3 linked regions of the Macaca fascicularis genome follow. The protein of the gene in region 3 interacts with the protein of the main gene of each other region in a biochemical or structural test. Links are inferred from orthologs where the notes say so. Each region holds a gene or a part of one and is shown on either strand. Other genes may lie near its edges.

Region 1 (3,649 bases), on a different chromosome or scaffold from region 3:
TCAGTTCCCAAATACTTAGTTTACTTAAGACTCATTAAATCATTAGACTTTATGCCAAATATAGATTAGTCTACTACAGCCATCAAAATTGTCTCAATTATAATTCCCACTAGATTAAAAATAAATGTACTAAGTATGGAAACAAGTTTCTTATCTTTTAATACTTCAAGTTAGAATAGTACACCTAAGTAGTTCTAAAGTGGTTGCCACCTTGTTACCTTTAAAAGATATCTGCTTTCTGCCAAAATTAATGTGCTGAACTTAAACTTACCAGATTACATTATAATGCATTTTTTAATTTTCACACAGCCAGGAGTCTTTTCTTCTTTGCTGATTTTTTTCAATCTGTATTGTCGGATCTCTCTCACCAATGTATAAAAAGCATCCTCCACTCTCTGCATTGTAAAACACAACTTCTTTAAAGTCTGTTTCATTGGTAAGAGTAATTTACTGGGACAGCCATGTGCAAGAAGTTTGAGATTATGAGCTTGAGATTTTTTTTTTTTTTAAACAGACATCAGACTGTTTGAATAAAACTGAGGATGCAGTTTTAAAATATGGGCTAGAATCCTGGTTTGTTCTTAAAAGTCAGTTTTGTTTTCTAATGGAATTAAATGTAAAAATTTTTAAATTAGGAATTAGGAGAGATTATGACAAGCCTAAACACATTTATTAGCATCTGTTTGTCAATTAATGCAACCATTTTAGTTTGCTAGTCTTGGAATTAAAGACTAAACTGAAGTTAGCTTTAAATTACTTCTTTGACTTAGGGAAAAGGTGATTTATGTACTACTGATTCCCACACCTTCCCCCAGGGGAGAATGAGAAGAAAAATGGTAAAATATGGACGTGCAACCTTTGTTAAAAAAACAACAAAAACATAAAAGAATATCAAAATAAAGATGAGTCAAGAAACTGGAATCTTGAGTTTTATTTTAAATTTTAACACCTTCCAATCTATTTCCAGGGTCTACAAGTAAAGCTGAGACTGGGTCTTCTGTACATGTTTAACTACATTATTAAATTAAAATCTTAAATGAGAGCTGCTTACCATAATATAAAAACATCATGAATTAAAGGACACACACAAAATAGGAGCATTTTGTATCGTTACTACAAGCTCTTTTTTTGTTGTTATTTATTTTGTTTTGTTTTAGAGACAGGGTCTCACTGTGTTGCCAGGATGGAGTGCAATGGCACGATCATGACTGCAGCCTCGACCTCCCAGGCTAGGTGATCCTCCTGCCTCAGCCTCTCAAATAGCTGGGACTACAGGCAAGCACTACCACACCCGACTGATTTTTGTATTTTTTGTAGAGACAGGGTTTTGCCATGTTGCCGGGGCTGGTCTCAAACTCCTGAGCTCAAGTGATCCGCCCACCTTGGCTTCCAAAGGGCTGGGATTACAGCCATGAGCCACCAAACCTGGCCTTACTACAAGTCTTAAAAATAATTTTTAGAACAGTGTTCAATCATACTGGCTTTGTACCTTCTATTCTAATTTAAATACTTTTAATAGAGTTTTTCCTGCTTAAGCCTATGATAAGAAAGCTATGACAACAGGCACAATCATATACTGGCCATATGGAGATAAAAGTTTTTAATCCTTTCCAATCTAGAAAATTAGGCAGTCATCAAAGGGGAAAAGGACTTCCTTAATTGTGCTGCTAGTTTGTTCAGAAAAGCATACCATCAAAGTAGGAGCACAGAGAAATGCACAGAAATATTAATCTATATGTAGTGCAAATTAAAAGATGTAATATTGTGTTTATTATTCTAAAAGGTAGGTAAATATTTTTTGAAGCTGGTATATTTTACTCCACATTTAATTTTAAGGGAATTCTATTCTTTTATCTTAAAATTAAGAATGAATTACCTAATTTGGGGATTGGCATACATATTTTAACTTTCTGAGATCCGTAACATCAATGTTTCTACTGAACCAAATGTAACAAAGTGGACCTAGCACCTAAAAAGTTAATATATCACAAGTACCATCTGTAGTTTTAAACTCAATCACACACAGATAATTGGCAACTAAGTATTAGCTGAAGTCAACCAATGGCCAGGGCTTAATTTTTGCACACAGAAGTCATCTGTACATCTGCTGCCGGCAGTAGTTACACACCTCAATTCTTTAAGGCATACTAATTTTTAGAAATCTCAGAAGCGTATTAAGAACTGCTTTAGTAAAGTACAGAAATTTACCTCTAAAGTCAAACTTTAATTTAAAATTCATAATGTTAAGTTTCAGTTCAAAAAGCAGGCATTTAAGTAACGTGATTATATATTAAAATGCGTATCTCAAGTCATTAACATATACCATCCAGTGATATATTTCTATTTAATAATGAAAATCATTATATTCTAAGAACATTCTTATTTTTAATGGAATCAATTTAGTCAACTAGTTCGCTAAGCCAAGTATAAATACAAATTTTCAACTACCTTTGTTGGCACTTTAAATTAGATACCTACTTACACCTGTATATTAAAGATTTTAAGTGTCAGGTGTGGTGACTCATGCTTTAGTACCAGCATTTTGAGAGGGCAAGAGATGCCAGGAGTTTGAGACCTCATCTCTACTAATAAATTAGGCATGTTGGCATGAGCCTGAAGTCCCAGCTACTCAAAAGGCTGAGGCAGGAGGGTTGCTTGGGCCCGGGAGTTTGAGGCTTCAGTGAGCTATGACTGAACCATTGCACTTCAGTCTGAGCAACAGAACAAGATGCTGTCTCTAAAAAAAATTTTTTTAATCGTTTTACAGTTTATATTTATCATTAACCCTCAAAAGGAAAGGGTTTATTATTTTTACCTTTGTCTTCAAAATATTATGTATCCAAAATTTTCATTAATAAGCGACATAAAGGCACTGAAATAACTTTGTAGCATGTAAAATGTAAAGCATGAGCTCTGTAAGATATTTTCACAAATGATTCTCTTTCAATTTGAAAATCAATGTAAAAAAATTAAAAATACGTATATACATATACACACACAAACCAGGTAAAAGCTCATATTTTCATAAATTTTCTAAGAATGTTAACTTCTATTCCTGTTTAAAAAAAAAAAAGTTATAAGGTCAATGTAGAAGAACCAAAACATACTATGAAGGAGAAAAACAGTATTGGTCCTCTACTAATTTAGCAGAAGCAAATTTTGATTTTAACTTATTTCTAAAATCAGTTTGAATGTGTCTACTTTTGCAGCGTCAGCATCCCCACCACCAATAGTGAAATACATGATTTTTGTTTCCAGCAATGCAGAGAGAGAATTGGAAGCCAATAATTAAAAAGAAGAGATTATTATCCACAACCAAGAATTCAGTGTCAGGACCTCAGTGGTTCATATAATTAACAGCACAGGGTGACTTCTTCCATTTCTTATTTTTAGTAATGAGAAATTTAGGTTTTAGAGTATCAGTTATTTACCACAGTTTTTCAGACTTAGTTATTTCTTCATAATATGCTTTAAAGTCATACTGACATCAAGAGAACATGAGAACATTATCCTTGTGTACACTGTAAACCACTGGCACTGGCTCTTATTTTTTAAAATGCATACAGTATATACCTATGAAACAAAACACTGGCTTTTCACATTCCGAAATTTGTAGATAATTTTTAAAGATAAAATATAGCTGAAACAG
Region 2 (3,010 bases), on a different chromosome or scaffold from region 3:
CGGTGCTGGAGCCCTAATTCCAAGGTCCACAGACTGCTCCAGGCCAGAGAGATGAAGAAAACTGGGTATGTGAAGGCCCAGGAGGCAGAGTCCCTATGTCTGCCATTCTTGGCAGGTGCATTTCACCATGGGAAAAAGTCAGGAAAAGCGACGCCTCTCACTGCCAAGGCGGCTCCCAGGTAGAGACCAGAGCCGCCGGCACAGATCCCCAACCCCTGAAATCACCTCCCTCTGGAGAACCGTGATGCCCTCCTAGTTGGTAGCAGCGCAGTAAGCTCTCCTTATGATCTGCCTGCTTGTCCAGAGCTCTCTGCCGGAATCCATGGACACTCTGGGGCAGGCAGGAGGAGACAGCAGCACAGCCCAGACCCCTGACCAGCCTCTCCCAACCTCCCCCTCCCAAAGGCTGTGGAGAGCCCAAGGCTGGACAGGCCCGAGGTTCCGACATACCTCACGCCAGGCCACACGTGCACCGTGTCCCACCCTCAGCCAAAATCCAAGGTCAAGACCATCCAATAATTTACTGCGATCCCATCTGCGCCTGACAAGGGCCCACAGAGGCCTGGGAGGGGAGCTAAGGGCTGGGGTTCTGGTAGCATCTGGGATGCTCAAGACAGTCTGTGCAAAGCATCCCTGGGAGGGTCTGCGGTCACTTCGGCCCATGGTCCCTGGGTGGCTGGGCTCCAGCAGCCCTTCCTTCCTTCCTTGCTTCCGTCCGTCCTTCCTCCTCCTTCCTTCCGTCTGCACCTCCTCCCTGCATCCGGCACCTCCATGTCCTGAGCTTGTGCTGGGCGGGGCACAAAAGAGGCTGCTGATCGCAGGCGAGGAGACCGGCAGGGGTGGGGAGCCCGGGGTCATCCGGTGGGCGTGGCGGCCGCCCTGGGAGCCCCCTCACCTGCGTCAGGAGAGCACACACTTGCAGCTCATGCAGCCGGGGCCACTCTCATCAGGAGGGTTCAGCTTCCGCAGCTTATGCTGCCGAATCTCACGCACCAATGTGTAAAAGGCATCCTCTACTCCCTGGAAAAGGAGAAATGGGATCAGGAGGGACAGGCCTGTGGCCCCCTGCCTAGGTGAGGGGTTCCCTGCTGTGCGATCAAGCCGTGCCTGGCCCAAGGCTCCCGACTCCACCAGCCACTTCCCCAGGCCCACCACACACACAGGAAGCTGGGCTCTGGTCATCTCGAAGAGCCCAGGGCCACCTGCACCACGCTACAGCAGCCCCTCAAAGGTCAGGGTGGCCCAGGACCCTCCTGAACTCCAGATCTGGCCAGGGTTTGACCACCCTGCACCCAGCTCTCATCTGAGCTATGGCCAGTGTCCCCAGCAGCCTCACTAAGACTCAGAACCAACAGGTGCCCGTGGGACACTCTGGGGACAAGAGGGGCTGGGCCCCAGGGTCACCGCTCCGGCCTGGCTCAGGGCAGCTCTCCCCAAGGACCTCCGCCTTCCCCGGAGCTGTGTCGGCCCAGGACTGCAGGGCGTGAGCCCAGACCCCGGCCCTTGCCTCCCTCACTGCCCTGCCGTCCCGGGAGACTTACAGCGCGAGGGGCCGCTGGGTCACATGGGTCCCGGGGGGTCCCAGAGGGTCCCGGAGCTGGAGCCAGAGCCAGAGCGGCTGCCCTGTGTCAAGGGAGAGGGGTGAGTGAGTGCTGCTCCCTGGCTGGGGCGGGGCGGGGCGAGTCCCTGGCTAGCTGTGGGCTGGAGAGCTGCCTCACCTGTCGCGTCTTGGCCGAGGTCTCAATGTAGGGGATACCATAGCTTCGGGCGAGGTCCTGAGCCTGCCGAGACTCCACGGTGCGTGCAGCCAGGTCACACTTGTTCCCCACCAGCACCATGGGCACGTCGTCTGAGTCCTTCACCCGCTTGATCTGCTCCCTGGGAGGAAAAGTGAGAGCTGGCTATAGGGGCTGCAGGCACGACTGCATCCAGGACATGCACAGAGAGGACAGGAGGCCCCTGTCTGGGCACAGCCGGCCTGACCCCACTTGTGCCTCATGGGCTCCCGGGCCAGCCTCAAGGGGTTCACCTGTACTGGTGGATGTCCTCAAAGGACTTGGTGTTGTTGATGGCAAACACACACAGGAAGCCTTCCCCCGTGCGCATGTACTGGTCCCGCATGGCGCTGTACTCCTCTTGGCCGGCTGTGTCCAGGATGTCCAACAGGCACGTCTCCCCATCAATGACCACCTGTTTCCGGTAGGAGTCCTGCAGGAGGACAGAGCTCAGGGACCCCTCAGGACCCTCCATGCGGGGAGTTCACAATGCCAGCCTCTCCCTGTACCTCTCATGCCCCTCTCATGCCCCCTCATGCCCCTCTCATGCCCCCTCTCCTGGGGTGCTGAGACGAGGGGCTCCCCTTCTCTGGAGGAAGCAGGAGACAGGCCCAGAGCACCATGCAGGGCCAGGGGCCGCAGCCACCCCTATCCTGGCTGTGTCCTGGGCTCGCCCACAGCAGCTGCCGGGACCTGGACGGCGGCGCCAGGCTCACCTCTATCGTGGGGTCGTATTCGTCCACGAAGTGGTTCTGGATCAGCTGGATGGTCAGCGCACTCTTGCCCACACCGCCGGCGCCCACCACCACGAGCTTATATTCCGTCATTGCTCCTCAGGGGCCTGCGGCCCGGGGTCCTACAGGGTCTCCTGCCCCACCTGCCAAGGATGGTCCTGCTCAGCCAGGCCCAGGCCCCACAGGGCAGCTGCTGGCAGAGCCATCTGAAGAGCAAACCCATAGCGGGCCCTGGGTCCCAACGCCAGGCAGCAAGGACTGCAGCGTGCCTACCTGTGCAGCTGCAAACCAGCGCGGGGGAGGGCTGTCGCCTCGCCCCCACTTGCTGTTAAGGACCCAGTGAGGGGAAAAGGGAGCCAGCCTCCAAAGGCAGGGCTGACAGCTGAGCGCTCTCAACCAAATTAGAAGCTGCTGGGTCGGCAGAAAGACTAAAGGGAGGCGCCCGAGGGCTGAGGTTACCGTCCTCCTAAACAGGTCTGGCCACGGCGGAGCGCGCCACGG
Region 3 (3,649 bases):
TGGGCCGGGCGTGGTGGCGCACGCCTGTAGTCCTAGCACTTTGAGAAGCTGAAGCGGGAAGATCACTTGAGCCCAGGAGTTCAAGGCTACAGTGAACCATGCATGCCTCACTGCACTCCAGCCTGGAAGATGGAGCAAGACCTTGTCACAAACAAATTTTTTAAAAAGACCCAATGGGCTGGGCGCGGTGGCTCAAGCCTGTAATCCCAGCACTTTGGGAGGCCGAGACGGGTGGATCACGAGGTCAGGAGATGGAGACCATCCTGGCTAACACGGTGAAACCCCGTCTCTACTAAAAAATACAAAAAATTAGCCGGGCGAGGTGGCGGGCGCCTGTAGTCCCAGCTACTCGGGAGGCTGAGGCAGGAGAATGGCGTAAACCCGGGAGGCGGAGCTTGCAGTGAGCTGAGATCCGGCCACTGCACTCCAGCCTGGGTGACAGAGCGAGACTCCGTCTCAAAAAAACAAAAAAGACCCAATGTACTGCTGATGGCGCTTCTGGGGTCCTGCTTTTTGAGTACCCCCTTTGATATTTTGGTGGCACCTGGGAGAAGGTTCTGTGCCTCTGTGGCTGTCTGAATTCCTCTTCAAGCCTCCAGTCGGCCTCTGAGGCTGTTGCTTATTCCTAGTGCCTTGTGGAGGCCCTGAAGCCCCAGCGTCGGGCGGATGTGGCCATGCAGCCTGGCTGTGGCCCCTGCACTGACCGTATGGGACTGCGAGGCTCAGGTCTGTGCTGGGCGGCCTCACTCCCTCCCCTCTTCCCTCACACTTCAGGTTGCCAGTCGCTAGGTCGGCCCACGGGGCCACGGTGTACAGTGACAAGCTGTGGATCTTTGCTGGCTATGACGGCAATGCCAGGTGGGTGGTGGTCCGGCCTTTGCACCCCACCTCCGACTGCACAGAGACCGGAGGAGGCCATCCTGGCATTTGAGGGCTTAGGCTGGAAGAGCTCTGCCTAGTAGATTTTGAGTGTCACTGTCCAGGGGTTTCTTGGGAGGGGGACAGGGAAAGAGGAGGATGGGCAGATGGAGGTGAGGACCACTGGGTGGAGCCCCATGGCTACCTCAGTTGCTCGGGTGAGGATCCTCAGCCAGGAGTCGCCGTGCAGGGCTGAGTCGGTGGGCGGATGGGCGGTGCCCAGGCTCAGGCCCAGCCCTGGTTCTTGCCCAGGCCAAAGGCCTTTTCCTCCTTATTTTAGAAAGTTGGCTTTGCTCTCTTTTTGTGATTACAAAAGTAGCATGTGCTGGTTTCCCAAAACTTCAGCATCATAGAAACTCCTAACAATGCAGTGATGATGGTGGTGTCTGTGATATCTGTGTCCTCTCCCTACCCAGGAGGGACACAGCTGGCCTGCCACACTGCCCCAATGTCATGCATGAGAGTACTTGTTCTGTCTGGGCCGGGCAGGGGGCCCAGCATGGCAGGGATTTGAGGCAGTGCCTGCCACCCCACACAGAAGTTCCCGCCTCCTGGCCGCACAAGTCCCCTACCCTGTGTGGGGGTGGGGGTCCTCCCTTCAGCCATCCCTTCCAGCCAGGACTGGCCCACCCTGACAGCCAGACCCAAGGGGTCCTCACTGGTCTGTCCTAATACAGGTTGAATGACATGTGGACAATTGGCCTCCAGGACCGAGAGCTCACCTGCTGGGAGGAGGTGAGGGGCACCGGGAGCCAGGGTGCAGGTGGAGGAGGTGAGGGGCGCAGGGAGCCAGGGTGCAGGTGGAGGAGGTGAGGGGCGCAGGGAGCCAGGGTGCAGGTGGAGGAGGTGAGGGGCGCAGGGAGCCAGGGTGCAGGTGGAGGAGGTGAGGGGCGCAGGGAGCCAGGGTGCAGGTGGAGGAGGTGAGGGGCGCAGGGAGCCAGGGTGCAGGTGGAGGAGGTGAGGGGCGCACGGAGCCAGGGTGCAGGTGGAGGAGGTGAGGGGCGCAGGGAGCCAGGGTGCAGGTGGAGGAGGTGAGGGGCGCAGGGAGCCAGGGTGCAGGTGGAGGAGGTGAGGGGCGCAGGGAGCCAGGGTGCAGGTGGAGGAGGTGAGGGGCGCAGGGAGCCAGGGTGCAGGTGGAGGAGGTGAGGGGCGCAGGGAGCCAGGGTGCAGGTGGAGGAGGTGAGGGGCGCAGGGAGCCAGGGTGCAGGTGGAGGAGGTGAGGGGCGCAGGGAGCCAGGGTGCAGGTGGAGGAGGTGAGGGGCGCAGGGAGCCAGGGTGCAGGTGGAGGAGGTGAGGGGCGCAGGGAGCCAGGGTGCAGGTGGAGGAGGTGAGGGGCGCAGGGAGCCAGGGTGCAGGTGGAGGGAGGTGGGAGGCAGGCAGAGCCAGGCTGGGGGTCGAGGCTGCTTTCTTCCCCTTGCAAAGCCCAGCCTTGACCTGAGCCTCGCTCTCCTCCCTGGTGACCCGCAGGCCTTCATGACCAGTTCCTCACTGTGGCTGCGCAGTGATTCGAGCCTTGGTGTTTTAGATGGGCAGAGCGCCATGTGTGTGAGGGATGTGGTTTTGCTTTAATCCACCCTTTATTTCAATGCAGTGAGGGCAGTCTGCTATCTAGTGTTCTGCTCCCTGAAACTCCCCCTGGGATTGCTTTCCCCTTTAGAAACATGGAATTTATTTATTTATTCATTAAAAAAAATTTTTTTTTTCTCAGTCTTCTGGGCATGAAAAACATATGGGTTTAGCCGCTGCTGATTTAACCCTGACGATTTTAGCCCTAGCTGTTCACAACTGGGCCCCCTGAAGTGGAGGAGACAGGGCTATGTGCTGCTCGAAGACAAATGAATCTGTGAACCCTCATCTGGGGAAGTTTCAAGAATAAAAGCAGTCCCATCTCAGCAGTCTTGAGCGTGGTGAAATGTGAGTGGGCCCTGGGAGGCCAGGGCTGAGCTGTTCTCTCCCCCATGCAGGTGGCCCAGAGTGGCGAGATCCCCCCGTCTTGCTGCAACTTTCCCGTGGCCGTGTGCCGGGACAAGATGTTTGTGTTCTCCGGGCAAAGCGGAGCCAAGATAACCAACAACCTCTTCCAGTTTGAATTCAAGGACAAGACGTGAGTACTCTGGCCAGTGGGGTGGAGGGAAGATAGTCAGCGCCCCCGAATCCTTGAATGTGAAGGACGCCCCCTGCACCTGGTGGCCATAGTAACCATCCTTCTGAGCTCTGCAAACAGCAGGAGGTTCCAGCCTGGAGCAGGGATGTGCAGGTCCCCAGGATATGGCTACAGTTTAGCAAGATAGGGCCTGGCAAAGAGGCCCCTGACTAGGCCTCCCTCTGACTATGAAGGACATCCCCTTCCCCGTGAATGGCTTGGTCAGTGCCACCAGTAACAAACGTGCCCTGCATAGATCTCAAATGATGGCAGAAGACCAGAGGGGCCTGCAGGTCCCCAGAGGTCTGGCCCATGCTGCCCCTGGCTGCTGGCCAGCCCTTGACCCTGCAATGAGGCTGCAGGAGAGGGCACAAGGAGTGTGAGCTGCAGGTACAGAGGGTTTGGGAAGGGACTTGGGAGCTTCCCTGGAGGCCACGGATGCGTGGGAGGATGGGCAGGGTGCCCCAGGACGAGGGAACCTGTCGAGGGCCCGGGGCTTAGCAAGGAGCCAGATGGCATAGCCCTGCCAGGCCAGGATCTGTTCTGAAGTCTTCAACTAACTTAGCAAAAGAGGGGACTTGCTGGGAG

The links.
Region 1: the proteins of LZTR1 (region 3) and KRAS form a complex in vitro, tested with the Homo sapiens proteins (2 studies listed by BioGRID, with this or other methods). The link is inferred for Macaca fascicularis from reciprocal best matches to the Homo sapiens genes LZTR1 and KRAS.
Region 2: of the proteins of LZTR1 (region 3) and HRAS, one has a biochemical effect on the other in vitro, tested with the Homo sapiens proteins (3 studies listed by BioGRID, with this or other methods). The link is inferred for Macaca fascicularis from reciprocal best matches to the Homo sapiens genes LZTR1 and HRAS.

What each region holds. Positions count from the first base shown.
Region 1 is NC_088385.1:27,937,510-27,941,158, forward strand, and holds part of KRAS (GTPase KRas), read right to left. Parts: intron 396-3,649; coding exon 280-395; coding exon of another isoform or gene 276-279; exon of another isoform or gene 272-275; intron 1-271. UniProt on the Homo sapiens protein: Ras proteins bind GDP/GTP and possess intrinsic GTPase activity. Plays an important role in the regulation of cell proliferation.
Region 2 is NC_088388.1:430,437-433,446, forward strand, and holds the end of HRAS (GTPase HRas), read right to left. Parts: intron 2,653-3,010; 5' UTR 2,603-2,652; coding exon 2,492-2,602; intron 2,209-2,491; coding exon 2,030-2,208; intron 1,879-2,029; coding exon 1,719-1,878; intron 1,624-1,718; exon of another isoform or gene 1,542-1,623; intron 1,021-1,541; coding exon 901-1,020; 3' UTR 896-900; intron 788-895; 3' UTR 503-787; downstream 1-502. UniProt on the Homo sapiens protein: Involved in the activation of Ras protein signal transduction. Ras proteins bind GDP/GTP and possess intrinsic GTPase activity.
Region 3 is NC_088384.1:31,973,055-31,976,703, forward strand, and holds part of LZTR1 (leucine-zipper-like transcriptional regulator 1), read left to right. Parts: intron 1-774; coding exon 775-858; intron 859-1,595; coding exon 1,596-1,653; intron 1,654-2,882; coding exon 2,883-3,022; intron 3,023-3,649. UniProt on the Homo sapiens protein: Substrate-specific adapter of a BCR (BTB-CUL3-RBX1) E3 ubiquitin-protein ligase complex that mediates ubiquitination of Ras (K-Ras/KRAS, N-Ras/NRAS and H-Ras/HRAS).